Linked DNA regions of Nothobranchius furzeri. The protein of the gene in region 3 interacts with the protein of the main gene of each other region in a biochemical or structural test. Links are inferred from orthologs where the notes say so. Each region holds a gene or a part of one and is shown on either strand. Other genes may lie near its edges.

What was found.
Region 1: the proteins of mcm6 (region 3) and mcmbp form a complex in vitro, tested with the Homo sapiens proteins (2 studies listed by BioGRID). The link is inferred for Nothobranchius furzeri from reciprocal best matches to the Homo sapiens genes MCM6 and MCMBP.
Region 2: the proteins of mcm6 (region 3) and chek1 form a complex in vitro, tested with the Homo sapiens proteins (2 studies listed by BioGRID, with this or other methods). The link is inferred for Nothobranchius furzeri from reciprocal best matches to the Homo sapiens genes MCM6 and CHEK1.

The regions. Positions count from the first base shown.
Region 1 is NC_091752.1:5,504,576-5,512,688, reverse strand, and holds the end of mcmbp (mini-chromosome maintenance complex-binding protein), read right to left. Parts: intron 8,112-8,113; coding exon 7,971-8,111; intron 7,869-7,970; coding exon 7,827-7,868; intron 7,756-7,826; coding exon 7,666-7,755; intron 7,550-7,665; coding exon 7,420-7,549; intron 7,322-7,419; coding exon 7,182-7,321; intron 7,111-7,181; coding exon 7,013-7,110; intron 6,947-7,012; coding exon 6,783-6,946; intron 6,638-6,782; coding exon 6,514-6,637; intron 5,912-6,513; coding exon 5,794-5,911; intron 5,721-5,793; coding exon 5,555-5,720; intron 5,475-5,554; coding exon 5,341-5,474; intron 4,897-5,340; coding exon 4,729-4,896; intron 4,652-4,728; coding exon 4,563-4,651; intron 3,044-4,562; coding exon 2,917-3,043; 3' UTR 2,680-2,916; downstream 1-2,679. Other genes in the region: inpp5f (phosphatidylinositide phosphatase SAC2), read left to right, coding at 1-598. UniProt on the Homo sapiens protein: Associated component of the MCM complex that acts as a regulator of DNA replication.
Region 2 is NC_091750.1:44,922,602-44,930,485, forward strand, and holds the end of chek1 (serine/threonine-protein kinase Chk1), read right to left. Parts: coding exon 7,743-7,884; intron 7,599-7,742; coding exon 7,467-7,598; intron 2,807-7,466; coding exon 2,705-2,806; intron 2,559-2,704; coding exon 2,469-2,558; 3' UTR 2,240-2,468; downstream 1-2,239. Other genes in the region: V-set and immunoglobulin domain-containing protein 10-like 2, read left to right, coding at 1,835-1,980. UniProt on the Homo sapiens protein: Serine/threonine-protein kinase which is required for checkpoint-mediated cell cycle arrest and activation of DNA repair in response to the presence of DNA damage or unreplicated DNA.
Region 3 is NC_091751.1:64,039,590-64,047,931, forward strand, and holds the start of mcm6 (DNA replication licensing factor MCM6), read left to right. Parts: upstream 1-3,464; 5' UTR 3,465-3,595; coding exon 3,596-3,693; intron 3,694-3,812; coding exon 3,813-3,959; intron 3,960-6,869; coding exon 6,870-6,980; intron 6,981-7,066; coding exon 7,067-7,154; intron 7,155-7,228; coding exon 7,229-7,390; intron 7,391-7,466; coding exon 7,467-7,632; intron 7,633-7,710; coding exon 7,711-7,859; intron 7,860-8,342. UniProt on the Homo sapiens protein: Acts as a component of the MCM2-7 complex (MCM complex) which is the replicative helicase essential for 'once per cell cycle' DNA replication initiation and elongation in eukaryotic cells.

The DNA of each region.
Region 1 (8,113 bases), on a different chromosome or scaffold from region 3:
GTCACCTGGAGCTGCTTCGGTTGCAGAAGAAGCCCTTCTGATTGACTTTGGCACTCCCATTGATGCCTACTGCCACCAGTTCATCCACGACACACAGACTAAACCCGTTGAAGTGTTTGGGGAGCAGCCGCCTGTCGCTGTTCCTCCACTAAGCTCTGCAGTTCAGAAGAACACCCCAGCAGACTCAGACAAGCAGCCAAGCTCAAATCAGCAGAATCGTCACGCGGAGCCCCAGCTCCCCAGGCCGTCCCAGCTAGACGTCCGAACCTCTACCTCCAGTTCCAACCTCCTCTTCGTCCAGAAGCCCAACTCTGCAGTCTCGGGCGGCTCTCAGAAGAGCCTGAGCTCGCACATGGAGGGCAGCCTCGGACCTTCACCCACCGACAGCAACGGCAGCCGAGTGGTGTCTCCCTTTGCCAAGATCAAGAGCTCCATGGTCCAGGTGGCCAGCCTCACCCAGGCAGGACTCACCCAGGGCATCAACTATGCTGTCGCAAAGGTCCAGAAGAGCCCCGAGCCCGACGCTGTCAACGAGGCCCAAGAGAACGAGCTGAAGGCAATGTTTACTCAGTGCCAGACGAGGATCATTCAGATCTAGTGCTTTCCTTGTAGCAGGATTTTGTAGTTCTCTAGAAGCGTCCTTAATGGTAGCATCAGCGGAAACTTGCACAGAGTATCAATATTAGGCCAAGAAACGTGCTCATGGACCCCCTAAAAAACGCCCACTCAGCAGAGACTTTTGTACTGAACTGACGAATCCGCCCCACCTGTGTGACTTGTTTACGTGCACGTTGTGGTGGGTTTCCCTTCTTTTCAGAGCACTGACCGTTTTTTGTTTTCTTTTGCCATGCGACGTTGCACACCTGATAAATGACATAAATATTTAAGTTCTACTTTAATAGATCAGTTGTTCCTCTCTGTGCAAACTGCAATGATGGCGACGCGGTTTCTGACAGCCTTCGCGGATCAGTTTGTGGCTCTTCGGCTGGTTTTAAAAGTAGAAACGATTAAACGTTGGGACTGATCTCGACTTGAATTGGCTCGCTCTCCAACCAAACCGCAGGTTACTCCATAAACAATGTTACTGTCGAGTTAAGTTGCTTCGGTAGACGCCGGTCTTGTTACGAGTAGCCGAGTACTCCCGGAGGGAACTATTTTTTTTACTTTTGTAAACGCGACGCCACCCGTTCAGTTTGTTTAATGGTAACCACCAGTTAGCATTAGCAGCGTGTATAAAGACCATTTCTGACAAAGTACCTTATCTCATCCTGTATATGCAGCACGCTTGTGACGTAGACCTCAATTTGCCGTACCACTGGTAGTGATCAACCAAACATGTTTTTTTGTGAATCGTAACATCGTAATGGTGTGGAATACTACCCTCTGTTTATCTGTCCGACAGACACAACAAGCTGTTGGTAGTTACTTTAGCTAATCTCCGTGTTGTCAAGCGTAATTAGGCGAGATATCGACTACGTCCGACCGCCGTAGTATTCTGGTCGTCAGTATGTACAGTGAGTATTGTCCATCCCTACATGAGCACAGCTTTTCCTCAGTTTAAAAACAAGGTTTTATTTTATTTTTTTCAATTTCCATTTTGTGAAAGCTCATGAAAGGAAACCGGCCAGATCGATATTTCGTCGGAATCGGAGAAACGGTTCCGTTCTAGTTAGCGTATTTGTTTGAACTTATCCTCGGCCAGCTTTAGCAGTTTGACTAAAACGAGTGGAGCATATAGTTAGCATATATGCTGTTATTTATTAGGAATGCCGACGCTTTATGCACTCCCCAAAACCAGAGTATATATTTATGCCTTAACCGGGAACTTAAGTGGGATTATTTCTATCAGGTATTTAAAGAAAAATCTACCTTTTAAAGTCTGTTGTTACGTGTTTCATTTAGCATACTGTTGGAAATGTGTTCCGGGGCGTGATTGGCATGTTTCACGGCAGAGACGTCGTTGGAGGATGTAAATAGTCGGTACGTTTGCTCCAACATCCCCTCTGCCGCCTCGGTTTAAAACCTCAGCTGTAAACTGTATATTTTATCCTTAAGTACAGGTTTTCCCTGGCTTCTTGTTGTTGATCAACACAAATGATGAGGATTAGCTTTGTGGCTAAGTGTCCCAAGATGAAAGGGGTCCCATCTTTGTAGTCCTCACTCCCGTTGGCTCACCAGCAGGTAACGCGTGGATTTGTTTGTCTGGTTCGTGTGACACGAGACTTCAGTCTTGGCTGCTTTGCAGGTGCTGCTTTTAGTACGTGGTGCTGCCAAAGCTGCAGCTGTAGCGCAGTTTTAACGCTTACGGGAATTTTAATCAGGTTCAACACTGGAGCGGTTCGTTTTATCTTGTGCTAAAAAGCATTCCTCCTGATGCTGTCAGCTTTTTTACTTTGACACATTTGCTGGCTGTTTTGTCTCCTTTTGTTTTCACACCAAGTGCATTTTTTGTGTCCTTTCGTTTCGACCCGAGACACAAATATCAGGTTTTTTCTGTTGGCGCTGCTGAAGCACATTTCCCCGATGTCACGTCTCCTCTTCTGTACCAACCTGACCGATGACATTGTTCTCCACCGTGTACTCAGATGTGTTGTATATTAAAGGATCCTATTTATTATCTTTGGGTGTTAATAAAAAGAACATTTTACACTTTTTGGTCTGGAATGAAAAGATGACACATGAGCTGCACAAGTTTTATTAAATCTATTTACTCGTGAGACAAACTGTTAAATGCACCGTGCTGAATGTAAACAGGAAGTTGGCTCTGCAGTTACACATTATAAACAGTCGGCTGTTATTGAGTCATACCTTTAATTCTAGTTGGAATATATAAATCTTTAGTTTACAAAAAGGTGAAAAAACTTTATTAAACTGTTCTAACAAAAGGAAAACCGTTGAGCTGTCCCGCGCGTGAGCTCACGGCTCGTTGCCGTTCACGCTCTTGTGTTGCTCTATTCGGCTCCTTCGCAGTGTCTCGATGTGTTTGGCTCTCAGCCAGCTGTCTCTGGACAGGGACGTGTGTCCCAGGCTCAGGGACAGCAACCTGCGGACGGAGACGCACACACACTCAGTCGGGTTTCAGCTTTTCACTCATCTTGAACAGGAAATCTAGATGCCGACGGTCAGAAGGCATCGTTCGGCGCTCAGTTAACCTTCACGAGGAGCCGCAGTCTGGACAAACGGCTTTTATGACCGCACCGATGAGCTAACGGCTAGGCTGAACACAACACCAGTTACTGATCTGTCATAACGGTTCACGCTCAGGTTTCTACAATAAATGCTTATTTATGTGGAACTTATGGAGTAAGTGTCACCAGCAGCGGCCAGATATGGCAAATAAAAACAGATTTTAGAGCATTTGTTGTGCAGATGTTATTCAGGAACATAAATGTACATTTTGGTCAACTTTACTCATTTTTTTATATTTTTGCAGTGGAATAAATGCCTTTTAAGTCGTACTCCGGGGACAAAAACTCACAGAAGGCTGCCAGAGAAAAAAAAAGTTACAGACGACAGGATTTGGATTCCTGATATTTGGACAGCTCTGATTGGCTAACAACAACACGACTCTACCACTGACTGCTCTGCAACGTTGATGTTTCATCTCCACAAATAACACAAGCCTGGAGAAGTTCTGCTGTGTGGTGGAGTTGCTAATGCTAACAGTTAGCTTCTACTAGCTGAGACGTTCTTTGCTGTTTCCTGGACGCTAAACCAACAACAGCCTTCCCCGTCGTGAGCCAACATGGGCGAGTCGATGAATGTTAGTGACAGTGTGACTTAGATCTGTCAGGATTTTCTAATCCTAGAGTTTCACCGTCTGTTTTCTATCAGAAGCTAAAGCTTGGTTTATGCTTGACGCATTTACTTTCCACGCGGTGATGCGGCTCGCGGATGGAACGCGCTTCACAACTCGCAGCGTTTATGGTTCGTGCGGCTTGTCTCTGCGGTGAGCCAATATTCTCCCAAACTGTAGGGGGCAGCATGGAGCTCTATGGCATGCATCCAACACTACACCATAGTAGAAGTAGAAATTACTGTTTACAACATGGCATTTCAGCATTTTTAACAGCGTTCTCGTCTTTTCCGACAGTGCGAGCTATTTCTCTCCAAGAATTATTAACAACATGTTGATCACGGTGATCTCTGAGAGCTGAATCATACAAATGTCTGTATTTACGAACCTCTGCCATACTAGATCTTGCCGGTCCGCCATGTTTTCCCGCGTCCGTCCGTCCGCGTGGTTAGAAATTTTCCGAGGTGTGCGTTGCGGAAATTCTGGGCCGTGCGGAGGTGCGGTGGAGGGGCGTGGTTGTTAAAATGACGCAACTTTTCCGTGCGGCCCTCGCGGACGCGTCAAGCATAAACCAACCTTAATGCAGGAGATAGGTGTAGGAGACTATCATCATGTTCAGCCTGCATGAAAAACCTCAGAGTGAACTGTTAAAATCAGAAATAATTAGTTAAAAAATAAATGGTTCCTAGAAGAACCTAGTCTTCAACAGCCTTGTAAGCTAATAAAACTCAGTTCTACTTTGGAGGAGAACCTAGTCTGAGCTCACCTGGCCACTACAAGCAGCCTGTGGAGATCTTCTGCAGAAACGCCCTGGGGGTCGTCCTTCCTCATCTCCACAAAGTCCTCCTCCACTGACTTGACGGGCAGAAAGCAGAGATGTAAAAACAACCAAAAGGCTCTTTAACCGTGTCCTGGCACACGTCCAGCCTCACCTTGGTCACGTCGTCTGAGATGCTGTAGTCGAGCAGACGTGCCACGCCCAGATAAACTCTGAACTTGTTCAGCTGCGAGGACACCTGCGGGTGGACGTGGACGCTCCTGATGTACTCCTCTACGTGGGACGAAGACACTTGCGGTTGCAGATGTATGTGACAGTCGGACTGTAGGAATAGAAGCGTCAGGACTTCACCCAGGAGCCAGAGAAAGCCTCGAGCCTGAGCCCACGGTTCAGCATAAACAGTCTGACGTAAACGCTGCCATGTACAGGTTTGTTTACAGCGCTCGGGGTGAGCATATCGCCCCATGTGACGCCACTCCCTGGATTGTTCCTGTAGCACGCAGCTGCCAACACGGCAACTCATTAGAGCAGCATCCAGGAATAGCACATGGCGCATTCCTCGTGCTGCCGGCAGCAGCGCGTCACCCCGGCTAAGGCTGCGGCACGGAGGGGGGTCTGCAGCTGGCCAGTGGCAGCTGTTAGCACAACCTCCAGCTTCTGACGCGGCTGCGTCTCATGAGAAACTAGTGGAAACCCAACCGGGGTGCGCGTCTTAAATAGACAGGAGAGAGTTTACAGTCTGCAGCAGCACCTGATTGGCTCTTACCGGCAGCAGTGAGCGACCCTCGGATGCGACGAGCACGTTAATATTGCAGGGGAACTCCATCTGATGGTAGTTGAAGTCATAATCAACCTTCTGCCACGAGATCAGGTTCCCCATGGCCGTGACATTACGCACACCTACAACACAGGAGAGAAGATTGCTTACCAGATCATTAGGATGATCAGTGCTGCCCCCTTGTGGCTAGCAGAGGTCCCACCTGTTGTGTCCAACTGTCCCTGCTCTAGCTGGGTTTCATCCAGGAAGAGGGAGGTGTTTTGGGACAGCTGCAGGGTTCCGCTCGTCAGGCGGTTTGCGATGTAGTCCTTCTTAGGCACCAGCCGCAGCTGGTTCATGTTCTGGAGGCTCATGCCCAGGTAATGGGACTGCAGGTAAAATCATTTAAGGCCCATTAGCAGACGAACGCACGGAAACGGAAACCTCTGGGTCTGGACTCACCGAAGGCACAAGCTGCTGGATGATCTGGTAAAGGCGCTCGGCGTACGGGGGCGCGGTCGGACAGCCGCTCAGGTTCAAGGTGAACTTTCCCAGGGGGAGAACATCCCTTCTGGCATATCTGGGAGGGAGGAATCAAACTCAGGCGAAAGCATCCCCAAAGCCACAAAACGGGAACTTACTGAGCTCTGGAGGGGGCGTGGGAAAAATAAGAGACATTTTTGGATCCTGGCTTTGTTTTGGTACATGGTCTGTATTTGAATAGCACCTTCTTAGGGTTCTACAGCCCCCCAAGTCACTTTACAACACACCCATTCACACTCTGGTGGGGATGAGCTACAGGGTAGCCACAGCTGCCCTGGGGCACACTGACAGAGGCGAGGCCTGCCCAACACCGGCGCCACCGGTCCCTCAGACCACCATCAGCAGACAAGGTGGGTTAAGTGGCTTGCCCAAAGCGCTGGGATCGAACCCGCAACCTTCCGATTACTGGACAACCCGCTCTACCTCCCGAGCTACTGCTGCCCCTTGTTTTGAGGGTTTCTGAGATTAGTTCCTCTTTCCTTGGGAGGTTCTGCTCCCCTCAGCCGTGAGACGGGTAAACGGGGGCGAGCGCAGACAATGTGACGTTCTATCTCAGGGTTCCTCAAAACAAAGTCAGGATCCAATGTTCTGCCCCTCCAGGGCTCCGAGTCTGAGCAGGATGACGTAAACTTGACGTACACGGTAGAAATGAGATGCAGAATGAGGTACTCGGCAGCCAGAGCGTCCCCCAGACAAACATGAGTAAAATATGAAAGCAGCTCCTCCCTGACGGCGGCCATCTCGCTCAGAGTCGACGATAAAACTGTAGATGAAGGAAAATACGTAAAGACACATAAACACTAAACATTTACTTCACGCTTCGGTTTTTCTGAATAATTCAGATTTTTTTTTCCTGCTGCAAATTCCTCAGAAAAAAAGCAGGAAAAGGAAATTTTGCGTCTCCTCACAGGCCCCGTTGTCCTCCAGGCGTGTGCAGGGCAGCAGGGGGTTGTTGTGCGACAGCGGCTTGGCGTAGAGCACATGGAGGCGGGGGACGAGAGACGCCGGCGGGCTGCGGACCCTCTGCTCTTCTGCCGTCTCCATACACTCTGTGGGGTCAATGAGGTCGTCTCTGTAGAGGAGCGGAGGATGAGTTCCCAGACGGGCGGCCGGAGGATAAACTCAAACGTTTTCTTACTTTTCATCCACCAGAGCGCTGAGAGCAGGACTGACGGAGAGGATCCCGTAGACTTCTAGTGTGTCGTTCAGTTTAAAGCCGTCCCAGTTCTCATAAACCTGGACAACAACAGGCACCTTTCAGCCCCCGCGCCGCACGCCACTGCAGGGAAAACGGAGGCAGAACGCACCTTGACAAGGCAGGAGGGTCCTTTCTCTCCAGGAAGTGGGAAGTTCAGGTCAAGGTGGGAGGAAGTAGCTGCCTGGCTGGAAGGAGCTTCAGTCTCCTGGCGTTTACAGTCGCTGCTTGGTTCTGTCGGACTCTGAGAAGCTGCAGCGGAAATCACAAAAGTCTAAAAACACTGAGATGTCCTGAGCTGCAGCTACGATGGCGAGGCACAACATAAAGATCTAAACAGCAGCTAATACCAGAATGTCCTTCCCGTTGCTTCTGAGGCTGGACGTCCATGTCCTCGTCTTCTTCGTAGCTCCGTTTCTGTCTGCTCGGGACGTACGAGGTGGAGGGGAGTTGTCGCGCTTGGCTAGCGCCCGCATATCTGTGCAGCAGGGTTAAGGAACGCTCCACAGTGTCTTTCAGGAAGTGTTTAAGCATCGGATTGGGTAAATAACACAAAAAAGTGTGTTTTCATCAAACCTCGGGCGGGATTAGGATATTTCCTTGACCCACTGGTTCTCTCCGGGAATTGGAACACAGTAGAAGGTTTGCCTCTCCGCAGTCACGATGTTCCTGGAGTTAAAGTCCACCTGGAGACGATACAGATCGGCTTATTCGTGTTGCAGAACTTCACCAACAGCCTGAACGGACGTAAACTCACCCCACACTCGGCCACGTCTCTATACTTTCCACAATGCAGCATCTGGGGAGCAGCAGACAGAAAACAGGACATAACATAAAAACAGGACATAACAGAACATAAAAAAACAAGCAGCCACAGGCGGGAGGACGGGGACACACGCACTTTGGCGTTGGTGGATGGATCAACGGTCTCGTACACGCCCATGTAGAACTCGGGATCAAACATGTCCTGGACCAGGCAGCGAAACTTCACCAGGCTGTTGGGCTTCAGGTAGTGCAGAGGGACGTCGTTCAGAGACGGCACCT
Region 2 (7,884 bases), on a different chromosome or scaffold from region 3:
ATATTTTTACATTTTTTTGCTTTTGTGAAACGCCTCGTGATTTTTATCTTGAGAGGCGCTATAGAAATGATATTTTCTTCTTCTTCAAGCTGGGGAGAGGGAAGTCTGGGCTTCTCGGCTTAGGCTGCTGCCCTCGCAACATGGACAGATAATGCCCATTGACTCATTTAATATGGTTTCGATATAAAATGGGAGGTTCCCACCATTTTGACCATGTCACATGTCTTGTCACGCCCAGACAATCCAAAAATAGGAAAAGAGGCGGAGCTGTTACAGTTGGAACAAATGAACCAATGTAGCTACTAGCTATCTTAGCCTACCCAAGAAGCTAAGAAGGAGCTCTGGGGTAGCCAACCCACACAGCCGCTTGGCTTCCGTGCGAGGCTGTAATTCCATGATTAACATCAAAACATGGACACACAGAGGACACAAAGTTCAGAGAGTTTAAATGGCTGAACATCTATTAACATGAGGCCCAGGCTGAGGCCTTTCCCTGAACTAGCTCCTATTGCTAGCTGGTGGCTCTGATGCTCTTTAATTATTCATAATTTCAAGCATTTAATACACTTAACAAAAGAATTACAAAAAAAGCACCCCCCTCAGAGTTGTCATGAATGTAAACAAGATCTATTAAACCTAAACTGCTTTGTTTTTTTTAAACCAGGCTGTAAACGTGTTTATTTCGGCTGTGAAAATGGCATTTTTAACATGGGACTCATTGAGTACTTGCTCTGTTTTGGTGCCAACCCTTAGCAGATGAGGGTGGAACTGCAAATATTGGCACTTCCTTGTTGGGAGAAGTTCTGGATTCAGGGGGTGACCCCTTGGCACAGACATATGCAAGACCTGGTTTCAGCTGTCGCTTTCCTCGTGTCAAGCCCCTCCTGAACGAGACGGCATCAGAAGCGTCTCTGGTCTAAAGACAAAAAGGACTGGACTGCTGCTGAGTGGTCCAGTGTTCTCTGATGAAAGTAAATGTTCAATTTCCTTTGGAAATCAAGGTGCCAAAGTCTGGAGGAAGAAGGGAGAGGTACAGAATCCACATTGCTTGAGATCAAGTGTAGTTTCCAGTCCAGTGGTTGGGGTGCCATGACATCTGCTGGTGTTGGTCCATTGTGTTTTCTGAGGTCCAAGGTCAACACAGCCGTCTACCAGGAAGTGTTACAGCACTACACGCTTCCTGCTGCTGACCAACTTTATGGAGATGCAGATTTCATTTTCCAACGGGGCTTGGCACCTGCACACAGCACCAAAGCTACCAGTACCTTGTTTAAGGACCATGGTATCCGTTTTGATCGGCCAGAAAACTCACCTGACCAAAAATCGACTGGGTATTGTGAAGAGGAAGATGAAATACGCCAAACCCAACAGTTCAGAAGAGCTGAAGGTCACTATCAGAGCAACATGGGCTCTCATCACACCTGAGCAGTGCCACAGACTGATGGACTCCATGCCACGCCGCTTTGCTGCAGTGATCCAGGCCAAAGGAGCCCTAACTAAATATTGAGTGTTGTACATGCTCATACTTTTCAGTTGGCCACCATTTCTAAGTCCTTTTTTTGCATTGGTCTTAATCGACATTCTAATTTTCGGAGAAAATCTAGGATTTTCATTGTCAATTATAATCATCAAAATTAAAGAAACATTTGAAATATATCTGCCTGTGTGTAATGAATGAATCTAAAATACAAGTTTCACTTCATGAATGGAATTACTGAAATAAATCATCTTTGTAATCATATTGTAATTTTGACCAGCACCTGTTTTTGGGTACTGTACTCTGTCAGCATCACCTTACAACTAACTAGTCTAATCACATTTCTGTCTCCCCCAGGTCCAACTGTGACTATACCCCGAGCTGCCTCACCCCTGAGTGCCACTCCCAGTCCCGCCACCCCTACCATCAGCCATTCCCCTCCCCCTGGAGATGACAATGAACCAGTCAGTGTCACCATCACAGTCAAAGCTACAGGCTCCTAAAACTAAACTAGATGCCTTAGGCAGAATCTGAATCATAGAAAGTTATAGAAAATTATTTATAAACTTTCTTTATTAAACATATTTCCATGTAATTTAGTCATAAAAAGCATAAATGACTCAAGTCAGTTTTTTTTGTATGAATCATATAATTTAGCTTGCAACAGGTTTCACCAAGCTGTACTCATTTATCTCTGAGACTTTTGAACAACAATAAAAACTGTTTATGCTTCTGACATCATTTAATCACTGAAATCCAACATAAAGGGGTGTTTTAATAATTTATTCAACTTTGGATTGTAACACAACAAAGAAAAAGCAAACACTTGGGTCACAACGGAAGGTTGAGTAAAACCATGTCAACCACAACTCTGCTCTGATAAATATCCTACTTTGAGCTTCCCTAATAACAAAACTAAAACCACGATTCACCTTCGACACGTCAGCAGAACAACAAGTCCACTTTTAGACGGGCTGTTTGTAAAAACGTCTCATGGAACTAAAACCTTCTGAGTGCTGACGATGTCAGCAAGCTTGTGTTTTATCCTCACAAAGACGCGCTTGAACTCCAAACCGTCACCCTGAAAACACACACACACACACACACACACACACACACACACACACACACACACACACACACACACACACACACACACACACACACACACGTCAGTTTCAAGGAAAAACTCAAAGGCAGAACAGCACACAGTTCTGAGAGAACAACCTTAGACAGCCTGAAGTCCAGCAGCACTCGCTGGCTCATTTCTAGTAGATGGACTTTGAAGATGAGCTTGTTGTTACGTTTGTCCAGCATGCTCACAGTCACCTGAGAGGCAGAGATCTGTTAATCAACAAGAACGTACTAAAGGAACGGGTCTGAACCAGTAGTCTTTGTACTTCCTGGTTTTTGATCATTCGTTTTAGAAGCAGAAACCATAAAACCAAAATGAAAGACATCTGGAGTTTTACATTAAATAATAAAGTGATGGAAATAAGTTAACCAACAGAACTGACGAGCTTCAAATTACACATGGACTCATGGACCCGTTTGTGATACACATAATGAAAATGTAGAAATTAAATAAATAACACGCACACATTACGTTATCCAAAACTGGACCAGACAAAGTTACCAATGTCTCCACGTCTGCAAACAAACAAAGCTGTTGACTTGTTAAGGATTCGAGATCCAAGGATTAGAATCTTTATTCTGTGCAAAAGAAAATGTTGTTACAGCCACCATGAAACTCTTACCTCGTCACCCAAACTGCCAAACTAAGCAGGAATAAAATAGATAAGATTAAATAAACATAAAAAATGCTATCTTAAGTGTAGACTGTACAGAAAGTTGTGGTACACACTCTGCAGAGAGGGTTGTGGAGTCCGGGTAATCTTTGAAAGTCTTAACTATGCCCTGCAGGCATTTAGGATCCCTGGTGCTGTTCCCACACCACACTGTGATGCAGCTAGTAGCTGCTGAGGCATATTTAGCATTAAAGCAAACACAATGGTCCTTGTTGTCAGCTTATTGAAATGAACATGTGTGATACCCAGGGCTGGGTTTGGATTTTTTCTGATAACAGTACCAGTATCTGAATGGCACTTTTTGGGGGTATCTATACTTTAAGGGTTAATTTTAATAGAAAAAATTACTTGCATGTTTTTTTATTTAGTACATAAAACAAAATGACTATTTTTCTTTGTGCAAACAGTGAACTATAATTAAGCAAACATCTTTCTTTTAGAGAAATAATTATGACACAATTTTCTTAAGTAAATTAAATAACTATTTATCTTTTAGTGCAAAACCAAAGTTTAAATTCTGAAGGTAAAGTACTAACTATTATCCATCTATCTATCAATTCAATGCCCCCACGACCAGACTCCACTTATCCAGAGTTGGGTCGCGAGGGTAGCAGCGTAAGCCAAGAAGCCCAGACTTCCCTCTTCCCAGCTACTAGGGCCAGCTCCTTCAGGGAATCTCAAGGCGTTCCCTGGCCAGCCGAGAGACGTAGTCCCTCCAGCGTGTCTTAGGTCTTCCTTTAGGTCTTCTTTCGGTTGGATGTGCCAGAAAACCTCACCAGGGAGGCATCCTGACCAGAAGCCCGAGCCACCTCATCTGACTCCTTTCGACGTGGAGGAGCAGCGAGTCTACTCTGAGCCCCAACCCAGCCGCTTCACACTCGGCTGCAAAACGCTCCAGTGAAAGCTGGAGATCATGGTCTGATGAAGCAAAAAGGACCACATCATCTGCAAAAAGCAGAGACTCAATCCTTAGGCCACCAAAACAGATCCCCTCAACACCTTGGCTGTGCCTAGAAATCCTGTCCATAAAGGTTATGAACAGAATCGGTGACAAAGGGCAGCCTTGGCGGAGTCCAACTCTCACTGGAAATGAGCTCGGCTTACTGCCGGCAATGCGGACCAAACTCTGGCACCGGTCATACAAGGGCCTAACAGCCTGTATAAGAGAGCCTGGTACCCCATACTCCTGGAGTACCCCCCCACAGGACGCAGTTAAACACCTTCTCCAAATCCACAAAACACATGTAGATTGGATGGGTAAACTCCCACACACCCTCCAGGATACCCCTAACCCCCAAATTCCACTACCTCCGCTCCGCTCCGGCACGAACTCCGGAGCAAAGTCGGTCCCGTTGTAGTCAATCAGAGCAATTCCACTACTGCGGCCGTGCTCCGGCAGTGCACCGCCCTCTGTTCCGGCGTCCAGCATGAATCGATCCTATTTTTGCCGGACGCCGAAGCACCTCCGCAGTCAATGGACAGGAATCACAACTGCCCAACAGGAAAAGGAGCAAGCACAACTTCCGTTTTTCACAATAAATCGATAAACAAAAGGCGTTTTTTGTTTCATATGCACAAGTTTAACAACCTTTAACAACTATCAATGGCGGCTGAACTTTAAATGCACAAAAGTAAGCCATAAATACAGTTTCCACTATCAAAATAGTCACACTTTGTTGATCTAAACACTGCTGACCTCTCAACATAAATGATGGGCAGATTAAAGAGTTCATTTCGATTCTTCTCCCACACAACGGGTGTTTGGATCTAACTTCCGCGTTTATTGCTCGGACTGTATCGCAAGATCTCGAAAATCCCGCGCATGCTCGTTTGCCCACCTCAGGTCTCCGCACCGGAGCGGAGCCGTTGTAGAGCGGGTATAGTATAATTTGAGTTCGGAAGCGAGCGGCTGCGGAAGGCGGGGGCGGACCGGGGCGGAGCGGAGGTAGTGGAATTTGGGGGTAAGGCTGGTCCAGTGCTCCACGGTTGGAACACACTCTGCGGTCCCCTCAGACTGCCAATCCAGTGGAACTGTCCCCCATGCCCATGCGATACTACAGAGCTGCATCAACCAACACAACCTCACAACATCCAGAGCCTTACCCCCAAATTCCACTACCTCCGCTCCGCTCCGGTCCGCCCCCGCCTTCCGCAGCCGCTCGTTTCCGAACTCAATTTTACTGGTACCCACTCTACAACGGCTCCGCTCCGGTGCGGAGACCTGAGGGGGGCAAACAAGCATGCGCGGGATTTTCGAGATCTTGCGATACAGTCCGAGCAATAAACGCAGAAGTTAGATCCAAACACCCGTTGTGTGGGAGAAGCATCGGCATGAACTGTTTAATCTGCCCATCATTTATGTTGAGAGATCAGCAGTGTTTGGATCAACAAAGTGTGACTACTTTGATAGTGGGAACTGTATTTATGGCTTACTTTTGTGCATTTAAAGTTCAGCCGCCATTGATAGTTGTTAAAAGTTGTTAAACCTGTGCATATGAAACAAAAAACGCCTTTTGTTTATCGATTTATTGTGAAAAACGGAAATTGTGCTGGCTCCTTTTCCTGTTGGGCCGTTGTGATTTCTGTCCATTGACTGCGGAGGTGCTCCGGCATCTGGCGAAAATAGGATCGATTCTATTTTTGCCGGACGCCGGAACAGAGGGCGGCGCACGGCGCCGCACTGCCGGAGCACGACCGCAGTAGTGGAATTGCTCCGATTGACTACAACGGGACCGATTTTGCTCCGGCGTTCGTGTCGGAGCGGAGCGCAGCGGAGCGGAGGTAGTGGAATTTGGGGGTAAAGGAACTCCGGGTGAATCTTATCCAGCCCTGGGGCCTTCCCACTGAGAACTTTTTTGACCACATCAGTGACTTCAGCCTTAGAGATTTTAGAGTCCAACCCAAAGTTCCCAGACTCTGCTTCCTCACTGGAAGATGTGCCGGTGGGATTGAGCCACGCTGTTAAACCTCTGGTAGGGTCACCCATGGCAAACTATCATCTATTCTATAAATATGAAACATCTACTCTTAAAAACCTGAATATCCCAAATAAATAAACAAACTGTACAAATAAGAGTTACAGTATCTTTCTGGAGTTTCCCCCTTTCAGAATGTATGATTTTTCAGAAATCCGTAAAAGTGATTGTCTCATCATGTACTGTGATATAACCTAAGCAATAATTAAGTTTTTGTTACTAAGCACGCCCCCTACACCACAGAGCTCCATGCAATAGGAAACTGAGCGCCAACTAGAACTAACCAATAGCGTTAGACTACCGCTTAGACGCTTCAAATTTAAGGAATACCTCGGCTGATGCAGAGTTGATGAACTTTTTACGGACAAGTAAGTCTCTAAAATATAAATATATGCAAACACAGCATGACATGAGAATAATACTTGTAAAACAACGTGTTTTTACTCTGCGTGTCGGCCACAGAAGCACATAAATAACAAGAAAGGTGAAGTCGCCATCTTAAAAAACTGAAGAAATTATTTGTGTGATATGCTTGTCAGCCACTAGATGGTGCCATCGTATAAGAGAAATACTCCTAACAGAGACTTTAATACAAAATAAACTGCGTAAAAATGAGTCTTGATCATCTTTCTTCGGAAAAACTAACCTGATGACACCTTCAGTGTTGCTGCTGCATCAAAGAAAGGTTGTAGACGCCAGGCTGAGTTTGCTCCTACATTATTTATTTATTGCTGCTGAAGACTGATATTGCTTCAGCTGCAAATAGATGCCATGGATGATGAGATGCTTTATTAGATATTTCCTTATTTAGCAAAACAAATCCTATACCAGATGTCACATTTAGCTCTTTTGCTGATTAGCTTCACCAAATGCAGCCAAACCTTTGATGTTCTTTGCAAAAGGCGTTGCTATAAACGAGAGGCAGGGCTGTGCGTGAGACCCTGGTCATGTGACGCACAGCAGCAGGAGGAACTGAGTTTTGAGGTTCTTTAACAAAATGCGTTTTACTGAGAAAGGACAGAAACCTAAAAAACAGAATTCCACATCTAACTGAATGGAATCGAGGAGCAGAAGACAAGAATGGCGTTTTTTTTTCCCTTTCAAGTAAAATAAATAAATAAATAAATAACTAATAGACGTCCATTTTTCTTTTTGAATTTTTTTCTGAAATGAAATTTAACATATGAAAAGTAAGCCCAGATTTACCTGTTTGGTGCAGGTGAGCTTGAAGCCGAGCGTCATGCCGTCACACACTTCTTTCAGAGCGGATAGGGAGGCTTCGGCGTTCACGTTGGTAAAGAAGCGAGTCATTCTCCGCACCAATTTCTGCCACGGAGACTTTAAAAAAAAAAAAGAAGAACAAAGTTAAGATGTTGCATCTGAGAGGGACATTTAGAAGCAGCATCGACCTGAGAAGCAGATTAAAACTCCCACGCATCATCATCAGGAACATAACCAGGTATGGGAACTCCTGTCATCTACCTGACTGGCTCCCGGCGTGCCAACTAACTGACTCCCCAGCAGCATGTGCTCCGGTTTGGTCGGCTGAGAGAAGCTGACCTGACCGTCAGCTGAGCTGATCACCAACATGGCTTCCCAGTCACCTGCTGCCAAATCAGGTTGA
Region 3 (8,342 bases):
CCTGCAGATGGACACGATGAAGATAAGGAGATGGTGGTGTGAAGTCCTTTTAAGAAACTTCCCGGTGAAGTAAGGACAATAACTCGCTATGCTCTTTACTACATCGTATTACACCAATGGCTACTTTGTTTAAAGACTTTTATTTTGTCATGTTTACAGATCCAGAGAACTACAAAGAGAGAGAGAGAGCGGAGAGGAGTAGAGGGAATAGCAGCAGAGAGGGCTCACTGTGGAACTGTTCAGATAGTTTGTGATCACCTCATTGGTACTATAAGTGTTTTCAGTGTATATTTGCACTAAGTTTGTGTTTTGTAAATGCAATAGTGATGTTTGGAACTGACTTAAAATAGTCATTTATATTTTGCAAGCCTCCGTGTGCCGAAGACCACACATATGCCAAAACCACAGAGGAAGAACCTGAGGTTAGTCTCCTAGTTCACAGCATGCATAATTAAGAATTGTCATTTATATTTACTTTTCAGGAGACCAAGAATCTGAATAAAGGGTTTAGAATGGTCTCTATCAGGGCTCCTGGAACAGATGAAAGCCAAAAGAAAATTTCTTTTGCCTTTTAGAGGCTCAAAACAGCGTTTTAGATTGCTCATAAACAGCATTATCGGTCTCCTTTAAAGTTGAACTGAATAAAACGGAAACCACCAAAATGTTTCTTTAACTGGAAATAATACTTCTTTAGAACAGCATTTTGTATTATGTTTGAAATTATGTCAGGAACAACACTGAGAAATTTGGTGTTGTTGTTTTATGGTCTTGCAGATACAGATACAAAGGACACCGCCAATTTTACAGGCAAGACTCACTCATATTCATGTTGTCTTGTAATTTTATGACAGTCTCATGGTGCACATGTGTGTTTGTCAAGCTCCACACTAGTTTCACTCTAAAGGGACACTTTGGGACAACTCCATCACATTCCAACAATTTTTATTATGTCAGTTCAGTGAACATTAGGTTGATAACCTTCAAAGAACAGAGACAAGTGTTAGATGTCACATAATTTATATAAAATACAATAAACAAAGAACTTTCTAAACTAAATCTTCCCACACTAACAGTGTAAACGATTAAATTAAAAGCATGACTTTAAAGGTCACCCAAAACAACTTCATATCATAAACAAAACAATAGTTACCAACCATTGGCATCTTTAGAGTCAACTCATTGTTAGAGCTTGCTGTGCTGTTCCTGTTTGACTGAGGATTGAGAGCCACCACCCTGCATAGGTGTTGTTGGTGCATTCTGGGAGATGTAGTTCTCAGTGGTGGTGGACCAGTTAGACCTCCATTTACTCAACTTTAACCCAACAGTGTTGTTTTCATAGATGCCGCTTCTTGTGCTTGAAGCTGTGCTCCTGGAGGTGATCCTAACAGAAGGAGATGCAGCTTACCTGTCACTGGCACTGACCTGCAAACACCTCAACACCATTGTTTCAGATCCTGTTTTTAGGAAGAAATGGCCTGTATTTGATTTGATATAGCGCCTTCTAGAGTCCTGGAACCCCCCAAGGCGCTTTACAACACAATCAGTCATTCACCCATTCACACACACATTCACACCCTGGTGGTGATGAGCTACAATGTATCCACAGCTGCCCTGGGGCGCACTGACGGAGGCGAGGCTGCCGATCACTGGCGCCACCGGTCCCTCCGACCACCACCAGCAGGCAACGTGGGTTAAGTGTCTTGCCCAAGGACACAACGACAGCGACAGACTGAGCGGGGCTCGAACCTGCAACCTTCCGATTATGGGGCGAGCACCTAACTCCTGTGCCACCGTCGCCCACTTTGCCTGGCTGGATGGTAATAAATGACCAATGATGTAAATTAATTGGCTTAATTGGCTTAATTTAATTATTATTTTGTTAATAGGTGAGATTCACTGGAGAAGCTTTTCTGCAACCTTCAAGTTTGAGCACACGATTCCGTTCACCGTGGGAAGATGCTCTTCCTGCAACGGTCTATACAAAGACTGTGTGGGCTTCACGGCAAAAGGACGAAGAGGAAAGTACCCTCGCTATTACTCTGGTGGGATACCTGGGCGCTGCCCTGGCTGTCAGCATTGAGCATGTTCAAATGTTCTAACATTGCCAAATAGTCCAGTGAAACATTTCTGCAGCAAGTCCACTCAAATGTGTATTTTTTTTTTGTAATGTTGAAAAGAACTGCTGCTGTTTAGATTTTTTAAAACAATTTCCTGTTGCTCCTCTGTTTGAGAATAAAGTTTCTTGAAAAATTGGTTGCAGTTTATATAAAAATGACTCGAACTTAATAAAAAATCAAATTACAGGTAAAACTCAAAACATGAGAATAGTGAAAAAGTTGAATTATTTCAATAACAAGACTCATTCCATACAAAGCCAGATATTTCAGCCTTTATTTGTTATAATTGTGATAATTATGGCTTACAGATGATGAAAGCTCTGCATTCAAAAATTCTGACGATTAGAATATTACATTAAAAAAATCCAACACTGCTTTTAAATAGAAAATTGTCAGACATAAGTACTTTGCAATTGGTTTTGCTTTTACTAAAATAAATTAATGGGCAACATTCTAATTTTTGGAGTTTCACATGTTTTTAGAAATTATATTGATATGAAACTAAAATCCATAAAAGTCTTTCTCAGCAGCTGTTCAACAGAGCCATCCTTTTGGAAGTTATTCTTTTGTGCTAAAATGGAAAGTTTTCTACACACATCTACCCATTTTTTTCATTAGGTTACATGATAAAATAACAAAAAAATTAAATCAGAACAACTGGAGACACAGGTGACACTTAGGAGAGCTGATGTTACATCTTTGGAGGAATTAGGTTTAAATATCAGTTTTAAATACTATGAATAGTCTCATCAAACTCAAATGGTTACAGTTTCCTACAAATAGTATAAAACTAGGCCACTTGTAAAAATCATCCTGATGAGATTTCTAATGACACTGGCGTTTCAAAAATACCACACCAATTTAAAAAAATTTAAGTGATGTGAAAAGTGTGAAGAATCACAGTCATTCTTTGATGAAGATTATTAAAAAATATAGTTTTAAATGATTTTTGGCTGTGTCATGTTTAGTACAACGATGTACGAAAAATAATGTAATAAACTGTAACTATTAATGAATCAAAAATATAGAAATTACGATAGTTTACCTAGAATTATATTTGTTTCATGAACAGTTAAGATTTTCCAAAAGGTAGCTCGACATTAGCGCCCCCTTCAGTTCCGAAAAGCAATTATACCGTTTCCATATATGGTATTGTTGTGGCCAGTGCCCCTCCCCGCCCCGTGCTACAAGCTGTAGCCGGTGGCTCAAAGAAGCAACAGGAAGCGTTTCGCGGGAAAACGCATGCGTCATTTTACGTTGCTCCACCTAATTGGCTACAAACCGGAAAACTCTGGACCTGACGCACAGATTGGTCGAAAGCGGCGCGCCAAACCTCACGTGGTCTCGCTTTTCGCGCGAAACGGCTCCCTGTTGTCTGGAGGAAAGTGTGCTGCTGCTGTGCGTGAATTACCACCGGGAGAAACGAGCTGTTCGGTCCAGGAATTTTACCAGCAACATTTAAACCCACTCACTGCAGCATGGACGTTGCTACAGCAACCGCGGAGAATGCCGGGACGATGGTGAAAGACGAGTTGGCGGAAAAGTGCCAGAAGTTGTTTCAAGCTTTCTTAGAGGAGTAAGTCGGCCTCGGCGTGCGCGTAGAAGTGTTACCGCGTTTAATAACCTTCTTTATCCGGTAGTAAACGGACCCGCTCTGTGCTGCTTGGGTGTGTTTGATTTGTCTTCCGTTATCAGATTTCAGACCGGGGACGGGGAGGTGAAATACGTCCGGGAGGCAGAGGAGCTGATCAGGCCCGAGAGGAACACCCTGCTGGTGAGCTTCACTGATCTGGAGGGCTTCAACCAGGAGCTGGCCACCACCATCCAGGAGGAGTACTACAGGTGGGACAACCACGCCACGGCGGCATCTGCTGGATTTGACCTGAAAACCGATCAGGTCAAACACGCGTGACAAAGGGGAACTTCTTTTCAAAAATCCAAAACGTCTTTAGACTTTTAAAATAGTAATAAACTGAAAAATACGTAAATTATCTCTAAAACACGGATTTCTTTCATGTGATCAGAACAATGTGACGTAAACTGTTTGGGGTTTGAGCGTCACAATGATGCATTCTCTGGAAAAGGTTCAGCTGAACACTCCAGTCCTTGTAGTACTGCCATTGTTCAAGTCCGCCTGGCCATGTTTATGTTTATCTTTTAATAAATCTGTCAAAAAATGTCCCATCCGCACAAAAACATTTACCTCATTTTCAGGACAAGCTCAGCTTTCAATATCTGTTAAGATTTTGCAGGTATGTAATAACAGAAAAAACAAAAAACGGATGTCTTCAGAAATTTCTGAATAGAAAAAACAAATGTACATGAATAAAAAAGTCTGAAATAGCAGAAATCAAGCCCAACATGTACTGATTTGTTTACATGTACATGTGTACATGTGTGATATTGTCTGTAGTGTTCGGGCGTTTTTAGCTGCTGTGGTCTTCTGCAGAGCAATTCCTGTCCTGCTGAAGATAAAACCATTTCTTACACTCTGCACATCCAGGGAGTGTTTTTTATTTTTGCACCGAGTTTTTGTACCTGTTTCATCCCTGAGGGGAAGCTGATAGCCAGGGCTTCTTCTGGGAATAAATCTGGGTGTCGTGGGTCGACGGTACCTGGGTTTGACTTTGTTGTCCAGGAGTCCAGAAGATGTGGAGCATCTCCAGCAGCATCCTGTCTTTGACATTGCCTGTTGCTGGTGGATGGCCCTTCATCAGAAGAATCTCTAAAATAAAAAATATATCAAATTATATCATATTTATTCAAGCAGTAAATACTGGTAAATGAAAACTGAAAAAAAAAAATACAGAACTAAAGCTAGAAATATATTTGAACTGTAGATAAACTTACTGCAGCTGTGATGGCAAATCATCTTCACTCACACGCGGATCCTCAACCACAGATGTACATGGAGGTTTTGGTTTCCTGGAAGTAGTGGTAGTAGTATAATAGTATAGTAATAGTATTAGCAGGAATACTGGACAACAAAAACTGGAACGTGTTCAGTGGAAAATATTTAATGCAGAGATGCTTACGGTGTTTGTGACGGAAAAACGATGTGGGCACATCTTGCTCCTCATCAACAACTTTTGAGGGAAATTTCCTCTTTCTTTCATTATTTAGAAAAACGAATCTTAATAAAATAATAAAAAGCCTCCATGAAAAACGCAGCTGAAAAAAAACTGAACTACAGGTGGTGTAATGAGTTAAATTACATGTTATCTAATAAACCGTAAGACATAGGATACCATAGTAAATATGAAATCAATCTTATGGATCTGTGGGTCTTTAACCAGAAGATCGGAGCTTTTTATTGCAGAGATTAGATAACAACCTCGTATTCACTCATAGACAACAGGAGAGAGAGTCTAGTTTAAAATTTAAAGATTTATTACTAAACAAATTAAACTAGACTAACTTAAACACTAAATGTATGGTGTAACTAAGGTGAATGAGACGGAGAATGGTGTAGTGTGGAATGTTGCTCAGAACCAGCAAATCCGAAGAAGCGATTAGTTCTTGAGGTTCATAAACACATTCGACGCCATTTCGTCAGCCTACATACCCTTTTGGAAGTCCCCGTTAGATCAGGAATGGCGAGGTCCAGCTGGACCCTCTCTGGAACCGAAACCGGTAGGAAAAGCAGCGTTTGCCGACCAGACCAGTCTTTGAGATACTTCCGGGCCACGACGGTTTTGTTGGCATCTAGCGAGAACCAAACCCGGGTCATGATGGTTCAGCTCTTATTCTGAAAGGAACCGTTGCAGCAGTTGGAACAGCAACAGATTTTATCCAGCTTGTCGTTGGTTCTTTTGGCTGAAGAGGAAAGTTACGGATTGGCCACTCCGACAACTTCTCTAGAACGCTTTGAACTGGCGTTAAAGATGACGTGGGCATAGTTTTATACTTCAGATGTTTTGGTTTATGGTCGAATGAAAAGATAACAGATCTACCAAACACCACCAAAACCACGCCGCCGTCAGATCTGGCAGATTCTGATTGGATCAGTAATGTGTCATGTCTTAACGCTGTGAGATCAGTCCTAGTGGAACATTTAAAGTCACATTACTTATTATATTCTATAGGATTATAATAAAGTAATTAATATTTTGATTTCACAGATTGGTCACTTCTTATTATTGACTAACACTTTGCTTGATTAGCTTATTAAAAATAGAGTTCTTTGATTTATTAAAAAGAGAGATTCCATTCTTCACTCTTCTCTTGAGCTGGAATGAAGCAGTTTATAACAAATGCATGAGACCTTGAGGCCGTATCTCATGCAGACTAGTTCTGTGTCAGAGGAGAGGGGAAAATTACTTTTGGTGGAAAACAGTCATTTCATTCCGTTACAGTGGTAAAACGAGTACAAACACGGCTAGACGATGTCAAAAATTACCAAATATATCCTAAAATTACCATATACAAACATAAAGTAAGATATTTACCAAGAATATTTATTATTTATATCCGTAGAAGAGGTAGAAGTTGAAAATGTGCGTCGAAAACAATTCCTCTGCTCCTCTAGGAAGTGTGATCAGTTTCTGGTTCTTGGGCAGGGACTTGCGTGTCATTACCGTAATGTGTTGTATACCACTGAAAGCGTAGAGTCTCAGCTTTCAGAATCCGTTAGAATCACGTTGATTGCGTAAACGGTTGAAGAGTTATTTTGTGTCGGTGCCGACACAACCGCAGTAGCATTGGTTTGTACGATTCTGGGAGATTTAATCTGTGTTAATCTGTTGTTGTCAGGGTGTATCCCTACCTCTGCCGGGCTGTACGCAACTTTGCGCGAGATCACGGGAACGTTCCTCTCAACAAAGAGTTCTACGTGGCCATCGAGGAGCTTCCCACCAGACACAAGTAAGATGCAGAATAATCCCAAACCAGCTGGCTTCTACTTAAAGATGCAGCAGAACGTCAGATGCGATCGCGTGTGTGTAATCTAGGATCCGGGAGCTGTCTTCCATGCGTATCGGCACCCTGGTGAAGATCAGTGGTCAGGTGGTGAGGACTCACCCGGTCCACCCTGAGCTGGTGAGATAGCCCGCTACAGAGACGACGGCGTAGAGGTTAATGACCTCTGATTGTGACCTGCTTTGCGTTTTCAGGTGAGCGGTACCTTCCTGTGCATGGACTGCCAGGCAGTGATCAAAGATGTCCCTCAGCAGTTCAAATACTCCCCTCCAACCATCTGCAGGAACACCGTCTGCAACAATCGCTCCCGCTTCCACCTCGACACCCACAAATCCAAGTTCATCGACTTTCAGAAGGTAACGCGTAGGACCGATGTGTTTTCGAAGCGGTATCGGCAGGTGTCCGACTTGCTCTGATACTCGTGTTCTTCAGGTGCGTATCCAGGAGACGCAGGCGGAGCTCCCTCGAGGTTCAATCCCACGGTCACTCGAGATCGTTCTGAGGGCAGAGGCTGTGGAGATGGCGCAGGCTGGAGACCGCTGTGACTTCACCGGGACCCTCATCGTGGTGCCGGACGTCTCTCAGCTCAGCACTCCTGGTGTGGCTTTAGATTCCCAAACAGGTCTTGGATCAGGGGATTTTATTCTCTGCTGATGTTTGGGTGTGATCTCCTCAGGTGTCCGAGCAGAGTCCAGCACCCGTGTACCTGGAGGTCCTCAGGGCTTCGAGTCGGAGGGTTTGAGAGGACTGAAAGCTCTGGGAGTCAGAGAGCTGTCGTACAGGCTGGCTTTCCTGGCCTGCAACGTGGCCCCAACCAACCCACGAGTAAGAAACCCTCAGTGCAGCTAAAGCACAGCAGGCTCTTCTAATGCACGTGGGACAGCTAGGGATGGGTACCGAATTTGGTACTTTTTAAGGTACCGACTGAATTCCATAGTACCGACCGAGCACCTATTCACTTCATTTGAAACGGTGCCTCGTTTTGGTACCCGTCCTTCACAACGAGAACTTGCCTAGACAGCTGCGCATGCGCAAGAGCGTTACGTCGTCGGTCGCTGCGAGCCAGTTGTAAACAGAGCAGCATGGTAGGAAGAACGCACGCTAAAGCTTGGGTGCACTTCACTAAATGTGATGGGTAACTGGGTGATGATGAAACCAGCGACAACGATCTAAGTGAGACATCCTCATCTTAATCTGCTCCGGTAGGTAAATAAAATGTTTAAGATAACATTAGCTTGATTTGTTAGCTTCCGTTTCACTAATGGTGCGTTCGCGTTCTCCTCGGAACTCCGAAATTCCGACTAGAAG